4 linked regions of the Oryzias latipes genome follow. The protein of the gene in region 3 purifies or fractionates together with the protein of the main gene of each other region. This does not show direct contact. Links are inferred from orthologs where the notes say so. Each region holds a gene or a part of one and is shown on either strand. Other genes may lie near its edges. The genes, in order: hexb, prdx2, sod1 and park7.

What was found.
Region 1: the proteins of sod1 (region 3) and hexb purify together in Homo sapiens (affinity purification with mass spectrometry; 3 studies listed by BioGRID and IntAct, with this or other methods). This does not show direct contact. The link is inferred for Oryzias latipes from reciprocal best matches to the Homo sapiens genes SOD1 and HEXB.
Region 2: the proteins of sod1 (region 3) and prdx2 fractionate together in Homo sapiens (co-fractionation; 3 studies listed by BioGRID, with this or other methods). This does not show direct contact. The link is inferred for Oryzias latipes from reciprocal best matches to the Homo sapiens genes SOD1 and PRDX2.
Region 4: the proteins of sod1 (region 3) and park7 purify together in Homo sapiens (affinity purification with mass spectrometry; 4 studies listed by BioGRID and IntAct, with this or other methods). This does not show direct contact. The link is inferred for Oryzias latipes from reciprocal best matches to the Homo sapiens genes SOD1 and PARK7.

The regions. Positions count from the first base shown.
Region 1 is NC_019870.2:5,730,150-5,737,802, forward strand, and holds the start of hexb (beta-hexosaminidase subunit beta), read left to right. Parts: upstream 1-2,886; 5' UTR 2,887-2,925; coding exon 2,926-3,182; intron 3,183-3,292; coding exon 3,293-3,444; intron 3,445-4,600; coding exon 4,601-4,666; intron 4,667-6,693; coding exon 6,694-6,740; intron 6,741-6,853; coding exon 6,854-6,964; intron 6,965-7,053; coding exon 7,054-7,155; intron 7,156-7,229; coding exon 7,230-7,362; intron 7,363-7,446; coding exon 7,447-7,627; intron 7,628-7,653. UniProt on the Homo sapiens protein: Hydrolyzes the non-reducing end N-acetyl-D-hexosamine and/or sulfated N-acetyl-D-hexosamine of glycoconjugates, such as the oligosaccharide moieties from proteins and neutral glycolipids, or from certain mucopolysaccharides.
Region 2 is NC_019859.2:35,387,778-35,395,498, reverse strand, and holds the start of prdx2 (peroxiredoxin-2), read left to right. Parts: upstream 1-2,968; 5' UTR 2,969-3,088; exon of another isoform or gene 3,089-3,108; intron 3,109-3,733; 5' UTR 3,734-3,761; coding exon 3,762-3,864; intron 3,865-3,985; coding exon 3,986-4,139; intron 4,140-6,984; coding exon 6,985-7,325; intron 7,326-7,721.
Region 3 is NC_019872.2:10,951,602-10,959,297, forward strand, and holds sod1 (superoxide dismutase [Cu-Zn]), read left to right. Parts: upstream 1-3,660; 5' UTR 3,661-3,783; coding exon 3,784-3,855; intron 3,856-4,651; coding exon 4,652-4,748; intron 4,749-4,859; coding exon 4,860-4,929; intron 4,930-6,312; coding exon 6,313-6,430; intron 6,431-6,532; coding exon 6,533-6,640; 3' UTR 6,641-6,888; downstream 6,889-7,696. Other genes in the region: scaf4 (splicing factor, arginine/serine-rich 15), read left to right, coding at 1-798. UniProt on the Homo sapiens protein: Destroys radicals which are normally produced within the cells and which are toxic to biological systems.
Region 4 is NC_019863.2:8,957,553-8,963,895, reverse strand, and holds the end of park7 (protein DJ-1), read right to left. Parts: intron 2,681-6,343; coding exon 2,594-2,680; intron 2,280-2,593; coding exon 2,119-2,279; 3' UTR 2,015-2,118; downstream 1-2,014. UniProt on the Homo sapiens protein: Multifunctional protein with controversial molecular function which plays an important role in cell protection against oxidative stress and cell death acting as oxidative stress sensor and redox-sensitive chaperone and protease.

The sequences.
Region 1 (7,653 bases), on a different chromosome or scaffold from region 3:
ACATTCATGTAGCAGTTGCGCATAGTAACTGCACATTCATGCAGCTTCACTGTTTTAAGTCCCACTCTGACCATCTTTTTTTTCAAGCGTGCCCAGTGCAGTGGTCTTTTAAAGATGATGCAGCTTTTAGCAGACATCTAAAGACCTGTGTCGTTTTCTAGGACATAGTTTCTATAGGAGTTTAGTCGAACTGTACCTCGGGATCGTTGGCGCAGAGTAACCCCGCCTCCACCTTCCCTTTGCATTACTGAGAGATCTCTGTTTACACTGTTTACAGCCCCAACCTAACATTACCGTTGCAACAAAAATAACTAGCAATATTGGAGCCATCCAGCCGTATGTTTAGAGCCAGATGCCACCTCGGACCAGGAAAACTAAAACGTTAAGGATCTATTTGTCTGCAAGTGGATCCATCAGAATGGAGCGGAGCAGGGAGCTTGTAGCAAATGATCACTTTTTCGTTTGCTCCTGATTCACAACGATTTGAACAAAGAAATACTCAGAAATGTCATTTTAAGCTTAATTTTCTTTATTTATGTCTTCCATCATCAGAAAAATGCCACAAGAACTATCTGTCATTATGGAGAAATGATCTGCTACTAAGCTGAGCTCCATACAAAAGCAAAACCTTTAATAAAGTAAACACAAGTTCAAGTTCCACAAGCTAAACGGGAAAGAGAACTAGTTTTCTGTCCCCTGCAGCGTCTGCTCAGTCACTCACTAAACAAAGTAAAAACCCGTCAAACGAGTTGACTTATTTTCCCAGGAGCAGCGTGACAGTTCTTGGATTTGAGGTTGCAAAAATATCATTTTTTTGGGAGCCTGTTCTCTCAGGAGAGCAGCACCCAGGTCAAATGTTTGCACATGTTGCCATGATGCTGCCTACAGCTGTTAGCGTTTAAGCTGTCAGACTTTACAAAGGTCAGTTGCATGAAGACGATGGTTCCTCAGCAGCACAGAGATAAAAGGAGCCTCTGTTTGAAAGGCTGGCCTGATCTGATCACAAGATCCCAGACTGTGGTTTCAAACTTTCCTTTGACTGAATGAAGCTACACAAATGCAGCTCATCGTGAAGAATATTTTTGTGTCCCTGTTATTCCATTGAGCGCATTTCATTTTACTGCAGGAATTTCACTGTCACAGAGCAGAGCAACATTTCTGCCCACCTCTTTTTTCCCTATACCCTCCAAGCCATTGTCACATAGTGATGTCTTAAGGGGGTAAAATACAACATTTTTAAAATCCGCCGTGTGTTTCCTCATCTGTCTCACCTATTTACACAACAGCTGCTTTTCTTCTGTTATTCTACAGCAGCATGAAAAGAAATGTCACCCAGAAGTAGATTCTAGATGTTTCTTTTAAAAACTGCTACACCTTTTCTGTCATTAGACTGAAATGGGTGGTTATACATTGAATATATTATTATTGTCATTTTGAGTTATTTCCTGTTTTAAAAAGTATTGTAGGGGTTTTTCCAATGACAATAGATGGTTCAAACCTTTGACTGTATATGAGAACTGGCGTTAAAAACGAACGAATCAGATGACTAAATAAAAACATGTTGTCTCACGTTCAAAACGTTTGACAGGTTCTCCTGGTGGTGGAGCTAAAACATTGTATATGTGTGTTTGAGGTCATTTGTCAATGATGATACAAATATTGTTGCAAAATTTGGGGGTCACAGCTTTTGGCTCTGCCTCTGGATAAAACCCAAGCCCGCTTTCAAGTGTTAGGGGGGAGGACTTTCAATTAGCTCACTCCTGATTGGTGAGAGTGGTTGCCATAGAAATACTGTCTCAGACTAATCACTATTTACTGATGATTTCTGGTTCCAATATAGGGACTGAATTCACTTCATTCTGTTCGATCCGTTAGCATGTCGCTTTCTATTAGTAAAGTCATAATAACTTGGTTGGGTGTTCATATAAAGTTTTTTATTTTATTTTATTTTTTTCACAGCAGAATTACCTATAAGACAGTGAGGAAAAAAAAGATGAAACATCGAAGAAAAAAACTGTTAAAAAATATTTTTGAATTTTGGTATTAAGTTTTCCAATTTTTGCAAGATTTATTATAAATTATTTTTGCTATTTAGTTTATATTTCACTTCAATTCAATTTCATTTATATAGCCCAAATTCAAAACAATAGTCATCTCAGTGGGCTTTGTAAGTCTTTTAATGTAAACATACAAACAAAAAGGATCATAAATGCATACAATTCAATAGGATAACTTTAACTAAACAGAATAAACTATACTGGCATCCCTGCCCTTAAACCCTACTTTGCGTTAAGAAAAAACTCCTAAAAAAAAAAAAAAAACGAAATCTGCAAAAAAACGAAGAAACCTCAGGGGTGTCCAGATGAAAGAGGGATCCTCCCCCAGGACGATGTACAAGAACTCATAGAGAAGAACTGGCTTAACCAACTCTAGAACTACATGTTTAAAGTCCAGCAAATGATCTTCATCCAGTTGAAGTTGGGGGACGGCTGGGGGTGCGAGACGAGCCGGAGACAGGATCCTCAGCCAGGGGTAGGAGCAGTAGTAGAGTATATGCATGTAACTGGGCAAAACTACCAAGTTTTGGTCATCTTACTGTTTTGGTTTTTTAGCTTTTTGTCGCCCCCATCTGATCAAAGTAGATAACTGCAGTGTCAGCCTCTGTTAAAGGAAGAATTTCCTGTTTTATCACGTACTATAAAAACTGTTTTTAGTTAAGCTTGTTTGTTTTCAGGTGAGACATTTTACCTTAATGAACATGTAATGTATTAAAAAAAACTCGAACTTCACTACTTCCGGTTGTTCTGAAAATAAAATGTCTCCTTTAAATTTTTGGACAGATTAATTTCCGGATGTAAAGCCCCGCCCCCTCGAAGTACTGTAAATCAGCGATCGGCAGTTGGGTCTCGTGACTCTCCTGCCAGCATGCGCGCGCTGTCTGTGTCCGCTCTGCTGCTCCTGGCTCTCAACTCCTGCCGGGGGACGCAGGACAACCTCCTGGACGAGGATGTCATCGAGCCCGTCGTCCAGGCTTCCAAATACGGCTCTCTGTGGCCTCTGCCGCAGAAAGTGCAGATCTCGGAGGTTCCGCTGAAGCTGAGCGGAGCCACTTTCGAATTCACCGATGCTAAGGGGTCGACCGCCGGTCCGAGCTGCAGCCTGCTGCAGAGCGCCTACAGGAGGTGAGACGCTGCGTTTGCTGCGGCTCGTTCGCTTTTTAACTTGCCTGGTTTGGTCAATAGAGGAGCCGGTGCAGTGGTGCGTTCAAGGACCGGTTTCCCTCTCTCTGCAGGTACTATGATTATATTTTTGGGGGCCCTAAAAAACAGAAGATGAGCAGAAACAGACGAGCTGGCCCCTTGGAACTGACTGAGCTGCAAGTGTCGATCACATCACCTGACTCCCAATGTGATGGTTATCCTTCTGTGACGTCAGACGAGTCATGTGAGTCCCCCACTTCGTGGTATTATGTTTTAAAAATGTTTGTTTTTTTAGGACGTAGAGAATTCTGATTTAAACTGATCCTATTTAATTTTAAGTAAATGGACACAGATGTTGATTATATTTTTTTAATAAAAACAAATTTAGGTCATACTAACAAGCTTTTTTTTGCTTTTCCACTCTTCTTGCACTATTACAAACATTAAGTTCCTTGTCAGGTAAATATTTAATTAATAATAATAGAAAAAAAAGAACTTTTATTCTGAAAACCATAACTTTTATGTTTAGGTTTTTCCCCTTTATCTCATCAAACCAGGAATTCAGTGGGTTTAAGTCACATCTACAATGTATTTTGTTGTTAATAAAAATGTACAATCTTCACCTTATTCAATTAAGATGGGAATCCCACAGGTACCTGTCCTGGAGCCCATGTTATTTTACCAGTTTGTTTACATCCAGTACTGTTCACGTTCACAACTAAAAAAAGTTTTATTGAACATAAACACATTTACAGAACATATAGATAAGTGCATCCACAACCAATGAGCATAAACATTTTCTACATGGAATAGTTAAAACAGAGGATATGTGAATAAGAAGTAATAAGTAAACAAATGAACAGAACTTCTTCTGCGGCTGGCAGAAAACAGGAAGCATAAAGTAAAGGTCACTTTAGTTGATTAAATTCTGTCTAAAACTAAAAGCAAAACAATGGTAAATACTTTTGTAGAAGACTGTACTAAACTGTACTAAAAAAATTTTAAAACAAAATCTTAAATAAATTGTTTTTATTAGTTTTAGGCTAATCTGGACACGTTGAATACCTAAAACATTTAGCTTTCCTGTTCTGTTCTTTGCTGAGGTTTGACCTCAATGGAACCAGCTACTGCTGGGAATAAAGCACAGTAGTCAACATAGTCATTGATCTGAATATTTTCCGTTTTCATACATGAATTGTTTTGTTTTTGAATGGAAATGTTAAATCTGCTATTTTTACTGGAGTGCAGGGATTTTCTAACTACAAAGTGGAGCTTATGTGGACCTTAAACTGAAGGATTAGCGCTGACAAAGTGTTTAAAACCTCATTAAAACCTGAACCCAAACAGAGCTGTGATAAGCAGAAAATGAACGTGCTGTTTACCGCCATCTGTGTCCGCAGATGAGCTGTCTGTGGATGTGCCGGTCGCTGTCCTGAAAGCCCCAACCGTCTGGGGAGCTCTGCATGGTACGACTATTGAACACTTTATTTGAAATTGTTATTTTATCATCATATTTAATGGAAAATGATTTCAATTTCTGGTATTTTATACGTTTTTTAATGTATCTTTGCATCCAGATGTGTTAAACGGTCAATATTTTCTTAGATATTTAAGGCCTATGATCACTTATGTTAATTTATATTTATATATTTTTTGTAAATTCACTAATGGTTTATTCAGACTGGGAAAACCGTTTGTTCCAACTCAGTCCGCTTAATTTGGTCCGGATCGATTCGACTGTCCTGTTCCAGACTAAAGCTACCATGTGACTAAAGCTCTCTTCACTCATTGGTCAGGAAACCACGAGGGTGGGGCAAAGCAACTAGAGTCAGTAATTATGGAAGTCCTGCGCTTTTAGTTCATTCAAACTTTATATTTCGCTCACAAATTTTGAACGCCTGACAATCGTTGTCCGCGGCTCATCTGTTGCTACATTCCTACGGCTACGGTGGCCGTTGTGGTTCCGTTGTTCCGCTCCAGCACCGGATTGTATTCAGAGTGAGGTATCTCAGGGTGAACCAGAGCTCAGTCTGATTGGAAACAAACCGAGACCACCTGGGTCCGAGAGCGGGTTCTGGTCCGCTCGGGTGTATTTAGACTGAATATTTGTTCTGGATTATTGGAGGAGAAGAACTCTGGTCCCATTTAAGCGGACACCACATGTGTCCGGTCTGAACACACTCTATGTCTTAACACGTAGGCATGTTGAAAACACTCAGGCTCTTTGAGTCTATTGAGTTTGCAGATCTCAAGTCAATATTGAGTCTTACAGATAAACTGCATTCCTTTTCATCTGATGGAGATTATAAAATCCGAGGGTCATTCAGGATTATTTTTCTGTTACGGTCTCTAAAGTTTTTACATTTCGTCTCCGTATCAAATGTAAAATAATCTGTTTTTGAATAATTTGCTTTTTAAGTTGCCATATTTTGATGCTTTACATTGTACTTCAGAAACTTCACTTTTTGAGTAAAGTGAGGATTTTTTTTCCTGGGAAATTAAAATTCCAGGAGCAGATTGGGACCTTAATTTATATAAGTATTTGTTTATATGACAAAAAATGTACAGAAAAGTTTGAAAGGAACCAAAAGTTTTTATAAATTATTGGACTTTTGCATTTAGGGTGCTTCCACTTTTCTCTCTAAGCTTTTTTGACATCTACAAAATCCAGGACCTTTCAAAGCAACAGTTGTGTTATGAACTCTTTTCTAAGCTTAAAGACGCATTCCAATAACAATGGCGTTTTGGGTCTTTTTAACATGTTCTCGTGACATTTTCTGATGTTAGAAGACATAGATTAAGAAAATTAAGCTTAAAACTGCATTTCTGAGTATTTCTTTAGTCAAATCGTGAATCAGGAGCAGACAAAAGAAATGCAGTCGTAAAAAGATCTTATTTGTGTCGCAGAAAATAAGCTCCAAGCAGAAACTCCCCGCTCTGTTGCTCTGTGCCAACAGTCCGGCCCACAACATGGAGGTGAATTTCAAGTTTTTTGAAGGACCACCGGGAAATAAAATAGATCAGAAGATGATCAGAGTGGGACTTTAATTGTTCAAAAACAAAAAAAGAGCTTTTTCTTTGTTTATCGTTGAGGTCAAATGTCCACAGCCACACTTAAAAGGGTTTGTAAGAGAAATATTTAATAAATATATGACTATATATTTCTTTTTATATATTTCTTTTTTTTAACCTAAACACAAGAAGTGAATTATTAATAACTCAAATCTACTCGCAAAAAAATAGTAAGTAAAGTTAACTTTTAAGTTTTAGTGATCAAATCCTGTCTATATTAACTAAGGATGTTGGAAAATGAGAATGAGGAAGCATAAATAACATTTAACTATAATTTTTTTGCTTTTAGATAACATTTAATTGAAATAAAAACGTTAAACATGTATGGAAATTTTTTTTTTTATACCTGCCTGTTCCGAATGTCTGTAAGTTATCAGAGTAGAATTAATTTATGTAAATTTTCCCCAAATTTCCCTTTCAGGACTGGAAACCTTCAGCCAGCTGGTGTATGAGGATGACTATGGAGCTGTAAGTGAAGAGCTGTTGCTGTTTGCCTCTGCTCTCACCAAAGGTCTTGCCGTTAAACTAGAGTTAAGGTTTAAAAAGTTTTCTTTTGTGTGCAAAACCTCTGAACTTTCCAGAAAACCATCAATTCCACGAAAGTGAGCGACTTCCCGAGGTTTGCTCACCGAGGCATCTTGCTGGACAGCTCGCGCCATTTTCTCCCCATTAAAGTCCTCTTGGCTAATCTGGTACGACCTTTTCCCAGTGTCATTGAATTCATTAAATTGAATCATTTGATGGAATTTCCTCGTTTATGTTACGCTGTTTGTTCAAACAGGAAACGATGGCCATGAACAAGTTCAATGTTTTCCACTGGCACATCGTTGACGACCAGTCCTTCCCGTATCTGAGCCGGACGTTCCCACAGCTGAGTCAGCAGGTCAGTCAGTCGGCGGCAGCTCTGTTTTGCCATCTTGTTGGGTACGCGGCGTTAACGCCTCGCCATGTTCTTAGGGAGCTTACCACCCCTACAGCCACGTGTACACGCCTTCTGACGTGAAAATGGTGATCGAGTTTGCTCGCCTGAGGGGCATCCGGGTCATCCCGGAGTTCGACACCCCAGGACACACGCAGTCCTGGGGGAAAGGTGAGCCCCTGCCGCATTTAGCCTCAGCGTTTGACTTATTATGATTGTTTTCATTGATGTCTGCCTCCATGTCTTCCCTCTCAGGCCAGATGGATTTGCTCACCCCGTGTTTCTCCGGTGCCACGCCGTCCGGCTCTTTCGGACCGGTGAACCCCATCCTGAACACCACATACGACTTCATGAGCCGCTTCTTCAAGGAAGTGAGCGACGTGTTTCCTGACGGCTACGTTCACCTGGGAGGGGACGAGGTGGACTTCACGTGCTGGTGAGACTGCCGCACAGACCTCCTGA
Region 2 (7,721 bases), on a different chromosome or scaffold from region 3:
AACTGAGCAAAATGATGGTAAAATATATAAACTACAGTCAGGGCTGTTATTTATTAGAAAAGAAATATGGCAAATATCGTTTTTTCTGCACAATAGTGTCTAGTTTCTGTAGTTTTGTTGGTCATGTTTATATTCAGTAGGAAAAGGAGGATATGAACGACTGCACAGTAGTCATAATCACAGGCTATGCCATTACTTTCCTACATTTTTTTATTCTAGTAAATCTGTTGCTGCAGAAGGATCTTCAAATTTCCGTTTGCCCGCAAACTCTTGTCATAAAATCAATAATATGCATCCCCCAGAACTTTCCAAGAACATTTCAAGAAATTTCTTGATAATGATTGGCTAAATTAGGCTATAAGCTGTTGTAAACCTGTAACAACAACCTGTGGCAACTGGACCTTCAGAGCCTTGAGGGCCAAACGAGAGGAACAGATTTATTCGTTTCTGTGATCAAAACCACAGTGTTTATACTTTTGAAGAAGATAACTATTTCTGTTATTTTCCTGTTCATGTGATTTCAATTTAGAAGTTTACTCAGAGCATTTAAATTGTGGAAAAATATACTGTACATGTCAGGAACTCAGGTTTATGTTGACAAAAGGTTTTCTTTTCAAGACAGACTTTTAATTTTAGTCTAAAACGTATTTTATTTTTGGTGTTCAACTACGAAATTCACAATAATTTTGATTCAAAACCGGCCCTTTTAGAGTCAAAGCTTGCAGACGCCTGCATGCTATCATCCACACTCTTTCCTGAACCCACGCGATAAGAAAAATAATAATAATAAAAAAAAAAAACACGCGATCAGACAATTGTCGCGATGAGTCGTAGAAAGCATTTTCTTTTCCAGGTCTCTTTTTATTTTGTTCCTCGTTTCATTACCAGTTTACCATTTCGATTATCGTACTTTTTCGTTAGTAGGATTAAAATATAAAAACGTACAAAGGTATTCGATGGATTTAGCTAAGATAGTACTCTACTGTAGTACTAGCAGCCGCCATTGTTTGTGTGCTGCCTGCTACACTGCAGCAGGTACAGCAGTGACTGCTTGATCCGTTTTTATTCAGTTAAATACCGGAAAGTTTTATAATCTACCTCACAGACACGTGTTAACTTCATAACACATTTATTAAAGTCGTGAATCTACTTAAAATCTCTCAGAAAGTGCCTGAAACATCAGGATATGCTAGCTCACCGGAAGTAGCGCTCCACAGAGTTCTTCTTCTATGGATTTCACTGTACCAACCCATACATACCAACGCACTACTGCCGTCTCCCGGAAGTGTTGGGTTACTGCATTAAAATGAGACTTGACCCGATAAAACTGTGGGTGATTGGCATTTCCTACCTACTGCTAGGGGGGACTGCCACATCTCATATTACTTGCTTTTTCGATGACAGACTTATTACTGTTTTGTAAATGTGTGTATGAAAGAGAACATAGTTGTCAAATGCAAAAGTATTTTAAAGGCCCACTCCGATTTCTAACATGTTCTTGTAGCCTTTTTCTGATGGAAAAGGACAAATATAAAGAAAATGATGCTCAACATTGGATTTCTGAGTATTTCTTTATTTAAATCACCTCTTCTGAACTGGTATCTGGATCTAAAGCGGCTCACCGTTTTTGTTGCACAGGTAATATTAGGATGGGGGTGTGAGGGGCTGTAAGCTAGCAGGAGCTCGCAGCATAAGTGAGAGCTCTCAGTCATGGGCGACAGGAAGGGACAAAGGGGGGCAAAAAAACATCACTGAAAAAGGAACAGGAAAGAAAACTGACACTGCTAAGTGATGATTCGAAACAGGTTGGCAAAACAGAGAGGACTTGGACCTGATCCACTCTTTTTTTTAAGGCCACAAATACAAAAATGTAAATAATAATTACAAACTGGACAAATATAAAAGACTGACATAGCATAAATAAAGCAACATTTACAATGGACTGGATTTCAGTCCGCAGATCATCTTTATTTCATCTATTTCCACACACGTTAGATTACAGTACAATAAGGCTGTGCATTGTAAATGTCACAAGTTTCATGTTTAATTTGATCTTGAGTTATATTGTAAGCTATTTATTTTAAAAGTTAGCATGTTGGGCACTTTGAATTTACACTTACAGTAAGGTTTCCACACTAACCATTCCCAACCGACTCCACCACATTGGAATGACAGACGACCGCTGCAGGTGACCCCACCCACACCAAGACGCCGCCGTGAACGTTTGCAATACAGACCATGTTACCTGGACGATGCAGCCACGGTCTGCCGTCCTGTTCACGGATGAGGGTCGGGTCACCGTGCAGAAAAGATGGTCACCAGCGTTGCTGGAGAACGCGAGGTGGAGCGAGACGATGAGGTCAACATGGTCTCCAGGGTTCACTTTGGTGGGGGAGGAGCAACAGTTTGGACCGGCATCACCAGGTTCTTGTAGACGGTCCAGTCACTGCAGGTTCTGACCTCAGAGACGTTATAGAACCATCATCATCCCCCAATTCCACCAGAACACCCCCAACTTCCTGTTCATGGATGATGATGATCCACCACATGGTGCCAGAACTGTCACAGCTGGACTTCAGGAAGTGGGAGTGGCTTTTCTAGTAGCCAGCAATGACCCTTGACCTGAACCCAATAGAGCAGGTCGGGGATCAGCGGAAGCAGAGACATGCAAGTGACCTGAGCAGAACTGCATGTAGCACTTGTGTAAGAGTGCTATTGACACAGTCAATGTCTGTTATTTTGGTTTTGTTTTAATTCTAGGGGTAATAAAAATCAACCTGATGAAAATTGTGTTTCTTCTTCACTATTAGTGATTTCACATGATTTTTTCCCTCAATATTCAGACCGAATAGGAAAAGTCCTCGTGTAAATAACAACGTTCCTAACTCCTTAGTAGTGTCACTGCTTTAGTGAGCCCCAACGCACAAACTTCTTCCAAAGATTTCTCAGGGCCGAAGGAGCGGCTTTTATTTTGAAGGGTGTAGTACTTCCGGGGGCGCAGCTGTCGGGGTCTACTTGTTTCCACGCAGCCGCGCTTCTTTTCTCCAGAAGCTTCAAACCTTCCTCCGAGTTCTCGGCGGGCAGTCAGGTGTGTTGGGAGTGAACGGGGTCAGTCTGGTCTGACGTCAGCGTCTCCGGGTTTTGCGGTTTGTTCCGGAAGAAACTGACAACAAAAAAAAAAAGAAGAAAAAACCCGGTTTCTTAAGCTAATGTTTAAAAGAAGCTAGCTAGTAGCGACGGTCCGGGCCCGCCTGCCTGCGGTTCCGTCTTTGTTTGGGTCCGGGTTGGTTCGGTCGAACAGCCTTGGAGACGCGTTTGAAAGTCGCTGGCGGTGCCTTTGATCTAACCGGAGCCGCGCGGCGTTTGTTGGTTTTCGACCAACTTAAGAGACAATGAAGGAACATGTGTGCTTTCTTTGTGTGTGTGTGTGTGTGTAACACTTCAGGTAATGAACTTTGAACTTCAGTTAAACAACCTTTAGTCTTCATTCCCGCCTTAAAAGTGCGTCTCTCTTTTTTCTTCTTATCTTTCTCCTTTTGAGTCGTTTAAGGCTGTAGGTTCCGCGCGCCTCTTAAAGGCTTTTGTTCTCCTGACTGCCGCGTGACCTCCTTGAGGAGGAGGGGGGGGGGGTGCAGGGGGGATGAATGCAGAGATCTCAAACCGTGAGACTTTGTTTCAGCTGCAGTGCCTAAACGTGTTGTTTTTCTGTCTTCTTCATCCGTGGATCTTCTAGTCCCTGCAGTTGCTCATCCTCCACCATCATGTCCGCTGGAAAAGCTCAGATAGGCCAGCCTGCCCCAGACTTTAAAGCCACCGCTGTAGTGGATGGACAGTTTAAGGACCTGAAGCTGTCGGACTACAAAGGTACTCCATTATTCAGTATTTGCACCTGCTCCTGCTTGGATTGGTGTCACCGACGCCATCGTTGGGGTAACTGGATTCATCCTCTCTGGGTTGAGTAACCGGTTCCTTCTGTGTGTTTCAGGGAAGTATGTGGTTTTCTTTTTCTACCCTTTGGACTTCACCTTCGTTTGCCCCACCGAGATTATCGCCTTCAGCGACCGGGCGGAGGAGTTTCGCAAGATCGGGTGCGAGGTCATCGGCTGCTCCGTAGATTCTCACTTCAGCCACCTGGCGTGGTGAGTCCTCCTGCTGGAAGAACCGGAGATCACCCACAGCAGCCGCGGTGACGTGTGCAAAATGTCTTTGATCGGAGTAGAATTGAACCGTGTTCATGGGCCCAGAAACACTTTATACGATTATAACAAACGTTTACATATGTCACACTTTTGGTTCGGATTAAATCATTGTGACACGAGCAGAACTCTCTAAAATACCGGAAACGTCTGTAGAAGACGAAACATTGAGTTCTGTTGTAAACAAGCTGCAGCATAGAGGTGATTTTAGTGCTTGTTCACATGTTTTCTTGGCTGCACAGAGCCAGAAGAAGGGTTAGCTTAGGCTAACACGTGCTAACAACAACATTTAGCCGTGGATGCAGTTCAAATCCATGCGGTCGATGCTGCAATCTGCATCTCTGCTGCCTGCATGTAAACATGTGGGAACAACATCAGCCTTTATTCAGAAATAACATGAATTCACAGGATTGTTTCCACGGTTTCTCAGGACTCTGCAGCGTTTCTCCATTGAATAGCCGCCTCCGTTAGCTCACATCCGTCCCAGAGCCGCTCCTCTGCTAGGAGACCCGGTTCTATCGGGAGACCCGGTTCTCCTGAGTCCAGCAGCTCGCTCACGCAGAGAAGCAGGACGGACGGCGGTTCAAAGCCTCTTCTGGAGCGCCACACCGCAACAAAACGCCCCCCACGAAGCTACACGTCTCTGCTCTGATCAGAGACACGCTTCACACGGGTGGAGCAGGCGGTCGGTCCTGTTTGTGCTCCAAAGTCTCCTCCGGAGCGTCACACCGTCTATAGGTGACGTAAACCAGGGCAGCAGTGACCCACGATTAGAGTAAACGGTTTACATGCACCATGATCTGATCAACAATCTGCATAATCCGTGTTGGTGGAACGGCGTATTTACATGACACATTTTTCTTTTGATCTGGCGTTCGTTCCGATTACTTTTGTCCATGTAAGCGCAGCTCCTGATGAGTCAGCGGGTTGCTATCAGAACCTGTTCCTGGAAAAACTGCGTTTGAGCGGGTTGGGAGTCTTTGCAAAGGTCAAGGACAAGTCGGAAAGCTTTGATAAGAAAAGGTCGGCAGGGGAACGCAGGCGGAGGTTTAACCTGTGAGGATCGACGCGTTGTCCTCGAATTTAAATCCGAATCTCAGTTTATGGTGGACTGGGGAACCCCCCACCCACACCCATAAACACACACACACCCACACACACACGCACACACAGGGCGGTGCAGGATTTGAGTCTGCACCGGCAGTATTTACAAACGTGGAGCAATTCTATAGGAACACTTTCTAACCAGAGAGCAGATGTGGTACAACAGCTTACATCAGCTGGTTCTGAAGACCCCCCCCCACACACACACACCCAGGTTTATCTCCGGTCAGGGTCTGGCTGCAGGGTCTTGATAAGTGCTGACCCAACGGTCTCACAGCTCCTCCCTTAAGTTCATCCTTAAGCTGCTCCTCCTCTTCAGTCCGGGTCTTGGTCCAGATTTAAACCTAAAGCCTATGGAGTAAAAACCTGCCCCTCCCTGTCAGACGTTAAAGTCCCCCCAATATTCTTCCACTCGAAACTTTTTTTTTCTTTTCCACAAAGCGTTCCCGTAAATGCGGCCCTTCAGGTCAACATGCGTGGTTGCAGGTTGTGTGATCTGAGTTGCAGTGAGCTGCAGTAAGGAAAAGGTGAAGATCACTTCCCTCATCATCACATTTTGCTCAGTTTGACTTGCAGACGTTTGTCGTGAAAAGGGGAATTTTCAGACAAACAACATAGAAACAGGACAGTTTGAACACAAATCTGTCAAATAGTCGAGCTGGACTAGAGGTAAGATCAGGCCTAAAATATCCAGCCCGACCCGACACAGGCCCGCGGGCATTAAAGCCGAACCCGGTCCGAACCTGACCAATTAACTTTAATAACCGTTCAGACTCGAGCCCGGGCTTAAGATTTTACCTCTAAGCTGGACGTGCACAGCTTCATCTGTTCAGAGCAAAAATCTTAAAGTATAGAACTGCAATGTGTAGATTTGATAGGAAAAAAGGAAAAAAGAATGACGATAGTCATAGTTACAGAAAATACCTTGTTTGACTTGGCTTCCTTATTCACATTTCTAATTCCAACCCCATTCCACCCCCCCCCCCCCCTTTCTATTGGGGGCATGGTTTGGCACGTTACCTTAAATATAAAAGTTCCTAAAGTTTTATTTTGAAAGTTCAATGAAAGTTTTTACTTTTTCCGGCCTTTTGCTTTTGATGCGTCGTGGGATTGGAAATGGAACCGTTGCGTTGCAGAGGGACGGACGCCAGACGCTGGCGTGACGGAGGCGACGTAAACATTCCTATTGATTAACCAAGGTTGCACTTGACAGATGGACTGGTGGAAATCTGGCGTCTCTTCATTCAAACTTAGTCTTTTCTTTTTTTTTGCCCATATTCCTTTGCCTTTCAAGACATTGAGCAGAATGTACATCGTTTTGATAAAAAAGGTGGCATGAGAGTTATTTTTGGACGGGAACTTCTGATTGGTTGGAATTTCCTGCCCCAACAAAGATCACATGTGTGCGGGACAAACGGCCCACAGCTGTGGTGCCCTTGAGCAAGTACTCTGACCTCTGCTGCTGGCTGTTTTTGCCCCACAGCTTCGGTTCGCTCTGAAACTTTGTGAACATTGTAAAAGGGGCGGAGCTTCCCTGAATAGAAACGTGTCTGCTTTTTTCGTGAATTCCCTAATATGTTTATTTTATTTTTTTTTTAATTTAAAGAATCCTGTTGGAGACGTGGGATCTTAAGTGGATCTGTGGTAAAGTCTAAACATGTTTTATGTTCCTAACCTGCAAAAGGATCAACACCCCGAGGAAGCAGGGGGGTCTGGGCAGCATGAAGATCCCGCTGGTGGCCGACCTCACCAAGTCCATCTCCAGAGACTACGGCGTGTTGAAGGAGGACGACGGAATCGCATACAGGTCCGATTCTTTCCCTTCCGTCGTCCGGCTTTCTGAGCTGTGGGAGAACGCAGGATCCCAACAGGACGTGTTTGTTTTTGTCCCTAGAGGTCTGTTTGTGATCGACGGCAACGGCGTCTTGAGACAGATCACCATTAACGATTTGCCCGTGGGTCGCTCCGTGGATGAAACTCTCCGTCTGATCCAAGCCTTCCAGCACACCGATAAATATGGAGAGGGTGAGTAAAAAGAAAAACCGTGCACGAACATGCGCTAAATGTGTCGAGTCCACTAAGGCAAACCCTTTTCAGGCGGTTTAATGTCGGACAATATCTTCACGGTCCGGTCCAAACGGGGCCAAAGTTTTACCTTTTTCTTTTTTTTGCTTCCAGTTTCTGAAAAACGTATTTTTCAAATTAAAATGCTACAAGAAATGTAGTTTAAAAACTTTTCTTTTTCAAATGACAAAGATTAAACCGAACAAAGTCCCTGATTTGTTCCTGATCTGCATTCCGGATCGGCCTCTGGTTGGCATTTGGAGGAAGACTCCCTCTTTTGTCTGGAAGCAGCAGTTTCATGTTTCTTTGAAGCCGAAGGCTCTTCTTCAGTTTCCTCACCGACTCTCTTCTCCCCGA
Region 3 (7,696 bases):
GGTCCTCCTCCTTCTCAAGGTCCTCCTTCTCAAGGTCCTCCTTCTCCCTTTATCAGACCTGGGGGTCCTAGAGGCCTGGAAGAGCCAGAAGAAATCGAGGAGAGACCATTTAGAGGGGACAGGCCTGGATTAAGAGATCGTGAGCAAGAAAGAGACTGGGATCGAAACCGAGATCGAGAGAGGGACAGGAGTTTTGGTGGTGGCCGGCGCCCGTTTGCCGACGGAGGCAGAGGAAGCGCTAATGATAAAATGGATGGGAGGGAAAGGCTTGGGGGCTGGCAGGAAGATGGAAGCAACCGTGGAGGAGGATGGGACAGAGACAGGGATCGTGACAGAGACCGAGATCGACGGGACTGGAGGGAGAAGAGAGGCAGCCTCGACAGAGAACGAGGGAGGGGTGAAGATGGGGAAAGGGATCGAGGGAGGGAGGAGGGCAGCGAAAGAGTCAGAGGAGAAGCGGCGAGTCGGGAAAGAAGCAGAGGAGATGATGGGAAAGGCGACAAGCCAAGGCGGCCAGAGCGGCGAGAAAGGACCACGCGGTGGGATAAGGACGATCGATTGGCTGAAATAGTAAATATGGACAGATTTCGGACACCTAACAGCAAAGACCAAACTAGTGTAAATCTTGTGGAGACCACTAAAGTACCAGAGGTAGTACCCTTTCAAAAGAAGGAAGAACCTGAACATTTAGCTCCGCGCATGGAGTTGACCACTGCAGCAGAAAATCCCGAGCAAACGGAGACCTCCCCTTCAGCTCAAACCGAGTCTACACAAGCAGACAAGGAAGCCGGCTCTTAGGCCTTCAGACATAAACGAAAGGCTATAACGTTCAGGATCAACCGTGTCATAAATTATTTTAAAGCAAAACCTGTTTTTCAGGTCGGAATAAACCATTTCTGGGTTAAAAGGACATTTTCTGTAAACAGATCACTCCCACACACTTTGTTAGACAGGTAGGTTTTTTTTTCCAGCATCAGGTGATGTGAAAGAATTGGACTGCATCTCAAAACAAACAAGGCGTAGTGAATTATTGGCTACTAACTCTAGTTTTTCCTTTCATTTTAATGTAGCATTTGCATTAAAAAACAACTTTTCTTTTTGAAATTCTTTTATTTTTTCTATCTTTATTTTTTGTGGAAGAAAAGTGGCTAAAATGATGTGAGTCACTTTATTAATGGGAAAAAAACATTTTTAACCAAGTTCATTTTTTTTCCTTTTAGAAAAATGTCTTTCGTTTGCTAAAATGTCAAACACTGAATATCATCTCAGATTTTTTATAAATAGAGGCTCCGTTGTTTTTTTTCTAGGTTGTGTGTTTAGTACGAAGTTGTCAATGCAGTGCCATCATAAGGAGTAAACGAAATACATTTGGGTATTGAATATTAGAAAGGGGTGGTACCAACAGGGAAATGCATACTTTTTGTTTAAAAACTTCACATTCAGCTTTATGATGAAGTGGTTTCCCTTTTTTTGGTACACATTTGAGTCAACTATGATCAGGAAAAAAACAAACTGCTCTAAATGTGCTATTTTTCTGGTTGCTGAAAAATCTGTCGTGGTCAACTGTGGTCCAAACGTTTATGTTCATAATCCACAGATTTATGCTGAGTGTTTAAAATGCATTCCCACTACTATAAAAAGAAATTCAGAACAAAAAACAGAGTGCAGACTTATCCGGTAGGATCCTTTATGTCAGACGGTTGTAAACATTTCTTTTGCCATTTTAATACATTTCCAAATTAATAAAAAACTATTCAATTTTTCTATTAGACACCATTGATGTAGCATCTTCTTTTAATTTCTGTTTCTTAATGACATTTTCCCTGTGCAAAAATGTTTGACTACACACCAATTTGTATGGTTTTAGGTCAAACTAGCCTTGAGCAAAAGCTTCATTTATATATTGTGCTTATACAGTCAAGTGGCATTTTACTTGCATGAAAATTGGAACAGACAAAATGTTAAAAAAAACCTCAATGTTCTAGAAGTGATAAAACTTTTCGTTATACAGGTTGTTTTGGCAATTGAACTGTGCTTAGGTTTTATGAAAAATCTATTCTAAAGTGAAGTGCAGTCAAAATCGCATTGGGAATGAGTTTTGTCTCATCACATTCTGCCTTGTGGGTTTTCCATTCTTCTGTTTAGGAACAGTGAAGGTGAAGTTATAATCTAGATGTGCAAAAATACACGTGTCGCTTAGGATTTATGAGTATTGTCTGCATACTTTTACAAGTTTACCTTTTGAGTTTATCTTTTGGTCTTGAAGAAACTTTTTCCCCAAAGCCAAAAAATCCCCAATTTATTATTATTATAATTTTTTTCTACCAAATCTTCCCCCGGGTTCATAGAGTTGGATTGAAGGACTTGGTTTACAGCTGTCACTTTTCATATTTTTGAATCATTTTAATACGTTTCATTTTGATCACCAGATTTAAAAACAAACAAACGAACCTCCCCACTCCTCCTTAGGTTAATGCAAAGGCAGCAAGTGTGGAACTACAGTACTAATTTGATGAATGGAAGGGTATTGTTGCCTTGGACACTGCTGTAAATATGCTTCTTTCACTGATGACTTTAAAGGTGTTATGGTAATTGTTGTTAATAATGTTACATGTTCAATCCAAGATGAAATGCAGAAGGAACAACACGCATTTGTTTGCTTTAACATTTTTAAATCCTAGTGGTTTGAGAATTGACTGATGTTTTTATGGCTTGTTTAAAGTACAGAAGACATGGACATAAATATGTCAATGTTTCAGCCACAGGAAACTTTTTAATAAACTATTTTTGTACCAAAATGGTTTTTGTGTCCTGTATTTTAACCCATGGTCACATCTTATTTTGCTTGAGCAGAGAAAGTCATCTGTAAAAAAAGGACAATTTGGGATGACCGACAGTCTTTGATGATGGAAAAATATTTTTTGAACGTGTTTCACTTTTGCACTAATCTATGCAGAAAAATTTTCTCATTTTAAAATAAATGGGAATCTCAAATAAATTATTAAAGTTGCAGTCCAATCATCTTTTGATCTATTTTAACGTCAGTTATGTTGCTTTTAGGCGATTTTTTTTTATGACGTAGTTTCTGCAGAGTGGCAGACGTTCATCCAAAATTCTTCTGAGTTGTGACTGGCCAGACACTAACTGCTATTGCTAGCAGTTAGTGCTAGCCATAGCAAAGAAAATAGCAGTTAGTGAGCCTGCCCTATTTTCCCATCATCTTTTACACAAAAACATTTATTTTCCATACAAATGTTGAAAAATAGAAGATTGTGTGCCAGATTAATCTTTTGGGGGGGAAACAACTTAATTTATTGTTCCTGGAAAGATTTAAGAGATTCAAGTTAGAATTGTTCAATGATATGGGGTATAAAAACTTGATAGATTTTTCAGCAGCAACTGATAAGTTGCTGTTATCTGACCAGAACCAAAGTTGTTTTTGTTTAAAAGAGTGCAAAAACTATTCTTATTATTCTGATTGTTTTCAAACATAAACAATATTTCTATATAAAAATCTTTTATAGATAAAATTTTTACAAAAATGTATTAACCGCAATTAAAGATATTAACATTAATAATTAAACTTCACATGCAATTCGTACTCCCATGATTCATAGCTTTTTTACTTCTGGAATCTTCTTCGACCAATCCAAACAGACTATTTGACATTCATCTCGGAATCTGATTGGCTATTTCCAACTTGAGCCCGCCTACAAAGCCTCGCCTTTCATAACTGTAATTGGTCGCCTTTTCCTAGCAGTGTCTTGAGAGACTTGAGCAAAAATGGTGCTGAAAGCAGTTTGTGTGTTGAAAGGAACAGGAGAAACCAACGGCGTGGTTAATTTTGAACAGGAGGTAAAGTTTTGTATTAAAGCTTTAACTTTGTCTCACGTTATGTTCCAAAGTTAGCAAACGTGACCTTTGCTTAATGTTTATCTCCTCTGCTTATTTAGCTCTTCATTGCTAAGCTAGCTAGGATGCTAATACATCATTATCCACATTAGGAAATGCCTTTTTGTGCTGGAAGTTTGCTTTTACTTAATTATGTTTCGCCAAAACCGGCAACAGCTTGCAAAATTACAATCGTTTAATAAGTAGTGTACAGAATTAATGAACCACTATTTCTTTTTTTTCTCCGTACTGAAAAAGTAATGCGTACATCATCATCATCATGAGCTGTTGTTGTCGGCCTTAAGCATGTTGTCTTCGAGTAATTTGACTGAGGTCCATGTTTTAAATTTGCACAACCTTTAGACATTTTACGACTTTGGGTTTTGTAATGATTAACGGTCCAACTGCCTGTGGTTGCGTAAATGAGGTCATTGGTTACCGTTACTACACTGATGGCGCCAGTTCTGTTTAGTTTCCTATTTTTAAGATACATTTTTAGAATTGTTATCCCCATCCAACCTTAAATACCACAATATACTAATGTTGTTGCTGAGTCATAGGAAGTCTACCAACTTGTTGTTTGTTTCTAATAACTTATTTGGCGTTGCTAACAATCTAGACTTCTCACGTAGTAAAAACAGATAAATGTCTGAGCTGCGGTCAATATTTCATTTTCTGAAGATCTACTTTTGCATAAGACAGTCTAAAATAGTAGATTGAATTATTTTGTAGCCACGGTATTTGGTGTGTGTGTGTTTAGAGCGATTCAGCCCCTGTGAAGGTGACTGGAGAAATCAAAGGCCTCACACCAGGCAAGCACGGCTTCCACATCCACGTGTATGGAGATAACACCAATGGTGAGTTCATGAGCCGATGAGTGACTGGGATTCTTGAAAATGCTGTAAATGAAATCTAATATTATCTGACGAGCTTCCACATCCCGTCCCCCCAAACATTTCTTTTTCTAGGGTGCGTCAGTGCAGGGCCTCACTTCAACCCATACAACAAGAACCACGGGGGTCCTGAAGATGCAGAAAGGTGAGGGTCATGTGGGAAAGGGTAGCGAAGTAAATGCAAAACCTGGTTCTATAGCTTATTAGTTTTCTGATATTGGTTTGAATTTTTATTTTATCCCTCCCCATTAATAAATTGGAGTGCTTATAGATGTATACCAGGACAGAATTATAACATGACGGTTCTGTAAACTTGATTCCTTCTGCTAGTAATTACTCTGCCTGCCTGCATCACTCACTGCTGTTATAATCACCTATCATGCTACCTTTACACTGGGCATGATGTGACGATGTTTAGAATATGTGATCAAGCTTACTTGCTTGAAAGTAACTATAGCTTACGTTTCTGGATGATTTATCTAACGAATCAGCTAATTTCTGAAACTTTGTGAAAAGAGCCATCCCATTTTCCATGCAACTTGGTGTTGACACAGTAAATAAATCAATCTCTATCTCTCTCGGCAATGTCCTATTCCTAATCCCTGCATGTTTATTTATTTCTTCTAAAGCTTAAACGGCTCACATTTAAATCACTTAAAGCTGATGGAGTTGTGCTGACAGTTGGGTAACAAATGAGGCATGCTGGGAAGGGGGCTCTGGAAAACCAAGGTTGTTAAAACACTGAGAAATGGGATACATGAAGTAAAATGCACTCTAGGCCTTTGAATTTTGTGCTTATGTCTTTTGAAAAGATCACATTGACTCACCTACATGCACATATCTAACTTGAATGAGGATTAAATTAACTCCAAATCCACCGATGGTAGCCTTAACAAATAGTTTTGGAGAGCAAAGTCTGACAAAGCTGAGCGCTCCAGTGGAACTTCAGCGTTTGTGGGTTGTTTGCACAACTTGCATCATGAACGGTGCTCTGCATTGAGCTGAGTTATTAAAGACTGAGATAGTGTGTCTGGCCTCAGTTTATTAGATTTTTATTCTGGGTTCTCTTTTCTTAAGCTCTGTTATTTCTCTTTTACTTGTGCTTGTTTTTGTGTGTTTTATTTTAAGGGGCTTATTTATTATTTTACTTCATGTGCGGGGTTTGTTTTTATTGTATTCTTGTTTTTTTTTATTTTTATGGAAAGCACCTTGAGCTGTCTGTTTGACATGAAAGGTGCTTTGTAAATAAAATTAATTTGAATTTATTCTGAAAAGCACTCTCCATTAGTCGCATATGATAAGTGCTTTAAAAATAAATCAGACTTCTTTGGTAGTTATTCAGTAGGAATATACTTTTTAAAGATAAAGTAAGCTTCTTTTTTTTTAACAACTTGAAATGCATCTAGTTGGTTTTAACTGACTAATCTATCTAACCTGCCCCCCCCCCCCCCCCCACATCTAAGTGTCTTAAGTTTTTATTTGAATTTATTTGATAAAGGAAGTTTTTTTTTTTTTTTCTTTTTAACAGACACGTTGGGGACCTGGGAAATGTGACCGCAGGAGATAATAACGTTGCTAAAATAGATATCACGGACAAACTTATCAGACTCTCAGGTCCAGACTCTATTGTTGGCAGAACTGTGGTGGTAAGTTTTTACTTTTTAATTTTGTTTTTAATATTTTTTATTGTATAAATTGTTAAAGCTGATAGTATTTTTCTTCCTGCCCTATTTGTCCTAATCATTTAGGTCCATGAGAAAGTTGATGATCTTGGAAAAGGTGGAAATGATGAAAGCCTTAAAACTGGAAATGCTGGAGCGCGTTTGGCCTGCGGCGTGATCGGCATCGCTCAGTAAAATGTTCAAAACCGCACTGAAAGCCGCTTCCTCCCACGGCATTTAATGAGACCAACAAAGCTACTTAATGTAACAGCTAGTCCTTAGTTTTGTTCTTCTGGACTAATAAACTAGCCAAGCCATGCTTTGCCATTGTTCCCTTGGACAGTTGTATGTATGGGTTCGTTTGTGTAGTGGTCCCAAAGAATTGGAAACGCACAAGTTATTTCTGTATGTCTTCTATTAAAAGTAAAATGGGTTATATCTACTGTGATTGTCTCATTTGGGCACTGAGAATGACTAAAACCCCACTTAAATCAAATTGGGTGTGACGTTTTTCAACCTTATCTTGGCGCCAAAATCATTTTAACCCTTGATTGCATATATTGTTCATCGTAGATATTTGTTTTGACGTTTGTTGCATTTGAATGTTTCAGAGCATCAAACTAATAATATATTAGTCAAAGATGCCACAAAATCCACACAAAAGTGAAAATATGAGTTTCAATTGCAGTCAAGCCTTTACGAGAAGTGGTTAGGAGACTTTCACAGGACTGTGGACCAGAAGAGTTTGGAAAACTTTAAAATTGTCCATGTTGGAGGGTTTCAGAACATATGCATTAATTCACTGCCATCAGAATTTTGGAGAGGTCTTTACTAAACCACTAAATGTTCATATATTTTCTGAAGCCATTCAGGGTTTTGTTTTGGGTCAGAACCCAGGCATGTTTCAACTTGAGGTCACTAAAAGAGTACATTCCCAAGGATATAATCTTTGCTCCATTTACCACACTGTATTTTAGACCAGCAATTATTAATAGGTAAGGTTTACAAAAAAGGGAAATGTTTTATGTTGAGTTCATTATCCTGCAAAAATGGGTCACATGGGGATCCTGATTTTTTTTTTTTTTTTAATGTGGAGTCAAAAACAAATGAACAGCACTTTAAACGGCACTTAAAATTAATGTTGTGAAGCCTGTCTTTGCCAGAAATATGAGCGACGATTAGACTTTGGAAAGCTGCAATGCTTTTCTCTTCCACTTGAGGGCGTTTTAATGCTTTAAGACTAAAGTTCTA
Region 4 (6,343 bases), on a different chromosome or scaffold from region 3:
GACCGTTTCCTTATGAGTAGATATACCGGTAGGTCCTTTTAAGCCAAATGGTACAAGTACTACTGCAGTGACATTCTATGGAGAACCCTATGGTCTAATCAGTAGATGCAATGTGAAGCATTCTAATTGCATCATTAGCTAAACCAATGACTCAGTCACAGAGACTACAGCCTTACCCTACCCCGCTCTGCCCCATCCAGAAATAGGGAGTCAAGCCTCAAGCTCTTTACTGTACAGCTGCTCAAGCAGAATAATTCTAACATGCTATGTGCAACAGTGCAAAATGTTATTTATCAGGAAATATACAAATATCAAATATTGCATGTTTGGGACTGTGTAGTACTGTCAAGAAACTGTCCAGGCAGAAGAGCATTTGTCCTCCAGGGAGAGGCAAATATTGGTTCTTTAGCTGAGGCACTTAATGGGCTGATGTTGCTTTTACATACCAGCAACAGCATTAAATGAAATATTGAAGACCGTTTTATGGCAAGGGTATTGATTTTTTTTTGTATTCATATATAGACATATAATCAATACACCGAGTTCGCCTTCTTGAGTTTGATCAATTAAAAAAAATGCAAATAAAGTGTGTAACAGGGAACGTCAGACTGCATAATGATGTGTTAAAAAGCCATTTGACTTGCTCTCTAATCATGACCTCTGACTTTTGCATGCTTTGCAAACAATGCCTGCAGTCCGGCAGTACTGTCAGGCACTTTCTCACTCTGAAAATGCTGTTAGGTAAAAACTAGGGTTGCATTTCCTCCCATTGTAAAACGAGACAACTAAGATAGCATCTTGACTTGTCCTTTTTAGCAGGCAAAAGTCTTTTTTTTATTCTTTAAAAGGCAGCAGTTTTGCGTTTTGAACATGGTCCTATATTAGAGCGGAAGGTTTTTTCTAGCTGGTTTCCTCGCGGCGGCGGCGGCGGGGATGCCTCGCTCGGTCTGATGGACTGAAGCTGGCCTCTGCCGCACTCCCATCAGCTCCACAACGCAGCTTCTGCGGCTCAGGCTGACTACGGTGGCTGCTGAGGACGGACGGCTCCTCAGACCGACGTCTCATGTCGGCTCCCATCTCTGCAGAGCCATCTCCCGGCGTGAGGACTCAATCTTGTGCGTTTAGTCTCAGCACATCAGAGCGCGTAATGCCGCCACCGCTCCCCCACCGGGCCAGTTTAAAAAAAAAAAAAAAAAAAGCTGAATTCAACCCATTATACAAGAACTGCAGCGAACTTGATGTTCACCTATTTGAACACTTAGCAGGCTAATCACGGCGAGTACAATGAGTCCTAGTGGCAAACACACACTTACTGTTGTAACAGACAGCTGCTTGTTTCGGCTGTAGCTTAACAATCTTACCTAATTTTAAACTCTACACACCTTTAGTGGCTATTTATGTGATTTCGTTGCGCACAATGAATGAATGAAATTTTTAAGGGACCATCCTTGCCGTTTAAAGCCCCTCGGGTGAGTATTACTCGTTGACAAAACCCCAAATAACCAAAGTATTTCCGAAACCTACTGCTCTTACCTTCGTCAAAACGCTTCTCTTCCTTCTTGACTGAGATGAAGACCCTCCGGATTGTGTTGCTCTGAAACAGCTACCATGCGCTGACTCCAAAGCCCCGCCCACCGGCCGCGTGCCATTCGTCGGTTGAGCCACAACTGCAGCCAAGCTGGGGGATTTGATTGGTCAGCTGAACCGTCAATCCATTCGGTTTCTGCTTCCCGCCTTCTGAATTGTAACCCCGTTAAAACACAATATGCCGTCTATATTTAGGTCTCAACAACCGCCGCAGGCATGCGAAAACACGTCAGTGACCTACAGTACAAGTAACACTACAAAGATCCATCACTTTCAACTTTTATTTCTAGTTTGAAAAACATTAAACTGTCGAAATACGCTGAGCATGTTGACTGCTTGAAAAGCTCTTGAATGCATTTTAGTGTTATTTCCGTTTTGAAAGCATTTGTAAGCATCTATGACACAGGAAGAACACTCAGAATCTTAGTTGGGCTGAAAAATATATTTACTGTTTTATGTGAAACACAGTTTAAGGAATTTAATAGTTATTACTGAGGCAAGGCCTCTTTTTTTAGGTGACAGTGGAAACATTTAGTCCTTCAAAATAAGAGGAGCCTTGACTTGAGTTGCAACATCGGCCCCCATAAGTTCTTCTACGATTGTCAGGGCAAATTCAAAACTGGTTCCTGGTCCACGGCTGGTGATGTAATGTCCATCCTTCTGTACTCGAGCTTCTGAATATTTATAGTGATCTAAAAAAAAAAAAAAAAAAGAAAGATTTGGTTAATGACCATACAGGAGTTTCAAACAGCAGCTAAGAAATCGCACATGCTGCCCATCAACGTGCTTCAGGAACGGATTATCTGTTGTCATTTCAATTGACCCAGTTCTAGCGTGTTCTATTAAATTCCTGCAACTGCTTTAACCTCTGAGTGGTGTGCTCTCATTGCAGGAAGACTATAGATAAAGGAGCAGCCAGTACAGCACCATCTGCTGCTGTTTAAAAACAATTACACGTTTCTTAGCTGAAATGACAGCAGCAGATTAGAAATCACCAACTTCTTACCTCCAGCCATCATTTTCTCCTTCATGGCAGGATGCGTTGTGACTGTGCTGCCGAAGCCAATGCCATGGGCTAAAAGAGCGGTAGGGCCTGCAAAAGTGCAAAACTGTTCAAGTCTCATGTGACAGCTTCCTGCTGAAAAGTAATATTTAAAAAAGCATTGAGAGAGTTCCGTTTCCTCCCAAAAAAAGCAAAATGCAGCAACCTGGGATTAAAAACCTTCAAATTTTCAAGCAGGAAAAGGCAAGAATTTTATTATTGAAGAGCTTATTGAAAGAAAAAAGCAACAAAAAAGGGTGGGGTTGCCGCATTAACTTTGTCCATGTCTAAGCAGTGCAGTGAGCTCATCCAAACAAAAACAGTTAATAGAAAACTATTGATCGTGCTGCTTTGGCTGCTTTCCTGTTCACACTCAGGGCAGCAGACCGAAAGTCCAAACTACTCCTGAGACGAGTCCCAACTCAAAAGACGCCATGTCTCATAGAAGACATTCAGATACAGCTCAAGTACAATGAAGGAGAAATGAATAAAATAGAACTTTTATTAAAATGGAGAAGTTAACACTGTTTATAATTTGGCATAGTGTTTTGCAGTTTTCAGACATTTTTAGGAGACTTTTCAATCCGCTTTGCTGGATTTATCCCCTTCCGTATCTTCTAAAAATTCTTTCTCTGTCCCGTCTTTGCTCATTAGGGCCAGCTTTGGGAATCTTACTTTGAAAAAGTAATTAGTTATAGTTACTAGTTACATCAACCCAAAAAGTATTTGAGTTAGTAACTCAGTTACTACATTTTAAAAATAATTTAAAATGGCTAAAAAAATATATATTTTTCCTCAGCTGCTAACAAACAACTAATAACTTAAGTTCAATAATTTAGTGAAATTGACACTTCTTGTATCCTGGTATACTTCTACCAATGAAATTCTGTTAAATTATCAGAGAGCGAGGGAATTGAAGTATAGAACTCTAAAGAAAATTTTGAAGTATCACACAAAAACACTCAAAAAGCTATATAGAAAAATCAATGATATTAACTTCAAAAACTGAACATAAAGGTTTGAAGTATCAACTTCTTTTAGTTACTGGTATCCAATTTTTTTTAAATAAACAAAATAATTTCCTTTTTAGAAATAGAGGGGAACAATGGAAAGCAACAGGAATAATTAATAACAATAAAATAACAATATCTAAATCTTAACCTAAACGTTAACATTGTCAGTCAGAAATATCACACTTCAAAACTGCAGCAAGAAAACTATAAATCTAAATATTAATTTTACATAAAGGCAAAACCAAATGTTGCATGATAATAAAAGAGAATGTTTCTAACATATTTCAAGTATCCCCTGAAATGATGTCTTTAGCTGCACTTTCATCATTAATCTACTTTATGGACGTTTTACATCTTCGGCTTTGCTCAGATCTCCGAATGTCTGAGTCAACAGTGATCAGTGGAAGCATGATTTCCACCACATAGGGTACTTTGCAATAAGGTTAACGGTTCTGCTTTGTCACCGGAGCACACACTCGGTGGGTTGTGAGATGAAAAAATACAAGTTTGAGGCTCAGTGGTTCATTAAATTTAAATGGCTTCAGATGGACGTCGGTAAATGTCTTTGTTCCGATACACAGCATGAATTTGACAAACATCTGTTCCTCTTGTTTTAATTAAAGAAAGTAAACGTAATATTTCCAGCCTCAAAATGCTGACACGTCCTGTTGATTTGATCCTGCTGGCTGCGCTGCTCAATCACATCTTGGAGCGCTTCAGTGTGCCCCCGCCCACCTGAATCCCTTTCCAATCGTGATCTCGAGTAGGACAACCCCCGTCGCGTGACACAGAAGACGCTCAGGGAAAGAAAAAAAGTTTAAACCAAATCAATTAACTAAAAGGTAACGCACTACAATCTATACGAAGTGACTAAAACAGCGTGGCAGCCGGGATAAAAGTAATTATTTAAATTACTCAGTTACTTAACTTATAACGCTGTTACTTATGTAATAATACTTAAACGTTGTTACGATCAACGGCTGCCAAAACACTAAATTGATTCAAATTTTGATTCAATACATTTTCTTCCCCTAAATCTCTATATAAACCCATTTTTATTTGATGATGAAAACCAACTTTCAAAAAACCACGGATGTGGACTTCATAAAAGTGGAAGTTTCATCAACAAAAATCATAATTTTTATCATAGAAAATGAACTAAGGATTTTTTTTACCCCCCACAAAAAGTAAGAATGACTTTAAAGTAAAATTGTTCAATTGATTTAATTAATTAAAGCTAAAGATCGATGTTTTTTTTAAATCATTCAATCTTTTTTTTTTACCCCTAACCTACAAGCAAACAAGTAAATCAAACTACTTGTGAGTTTTCTCAGTAGTTTTGGAACAAGGGTTTTTTATGTAAAATATTTGAAAATGACCACATTTTAATCAACTTTGAAATCTGACGGCGTATGATTTATTTCAATCAAGTAAGAGGCATTCCTTAAACTCTTTGGACTAATAATAGTTCCCAATGAACCAAAAAAAAATACCCAAACCCATATTAAAATATGACATTTTGATTTAATTTGATTTGAAATGGTTTATTTCAAGCAATCAAATAAGAATAATACACAACAACAATACAATCATCAGTTATCCATTCATACATGAAACCTAATAAAAGGTGCATGGGGGAGTTTTAAACTTGTGCTGAAACATTGTCAAGTCAACTTTCCAATCCCAACAGGCCCTGTAAAAGCTGCACTTTTCACAGTTCACTGGCTGCCTCTCCAAAATACCCCCTTCACCACAGAGCTCCACTGCCATTTGCAACCATCCAAGCCTATGAATCACACTGCCTCAATGCATTTTCCTGAACAAACATCTCCTCTTTATTTTACAGTTCCTGTATTATTTGGCATCAATTGTAACAGAGGGCCATTTATCAAATGTCTGTTTTTTTCTTTTGTCATCAAACTCTTCATACCTTTAGCTCTTGTGTGGTTACGCAGATTAATGCCAAAATCTCTACATTTGCTCTTGTGATGACTTCTTACACAGTATCATACAAACATCCTTCTGAATATGTTTAAAGTCTCACTCTGATCATCTGTTGATCTATTGTGAAAGCATTTTCCAGTGGTCTTTCCCTTATAAATATGCAGTTTTTAGCCAAAATCAAAAAACCTGGGTCGTTTTCTAGAACATTGCGTCTTCAGAGCGACAGGAGTTCATCAGAAATTCACCTTCGAGTTTACGGGTGAGACCGTTGGCATGGAGCAAACCCTGCTCCTTTTCCCATAAGTGAGAGCTCTCCATTTACACACTTTCCTGTTATCTCACACTCCCAAACTAACATCACCAATGCAACAGAAAATCACAGGCGATATTGGAGCTATCCAGCAGTACAGTTTTGAGCCAGATTCCAGCTCAGACGATGAAAACAAAGACGTGCATGGATCTATTTGTCTGAAAGTGGATGCATCAGAATGGAGCGGAGCAGGAAGTTTGTGGCCCGCCCAGTGTATTTTATGTGTCACAAATACGCTAATAGGGCTGCACGGTGGCGCAGTGGTTAGCGCTCTTGCATCACAGCAAGAAGGCCCCCGGTTCAAGTCCCAGCTGGGGGACATGAAAAACACAACATCAATGGGGGACCTTTCTGTGTGGAGTTTGCATGTTCTCCCCGTGCATGCGTGGGTTTTCTCCGGGGTCTCCGGCTTCCTCCCAGTGTCCAAAAACATGCTTCATAGGTTGA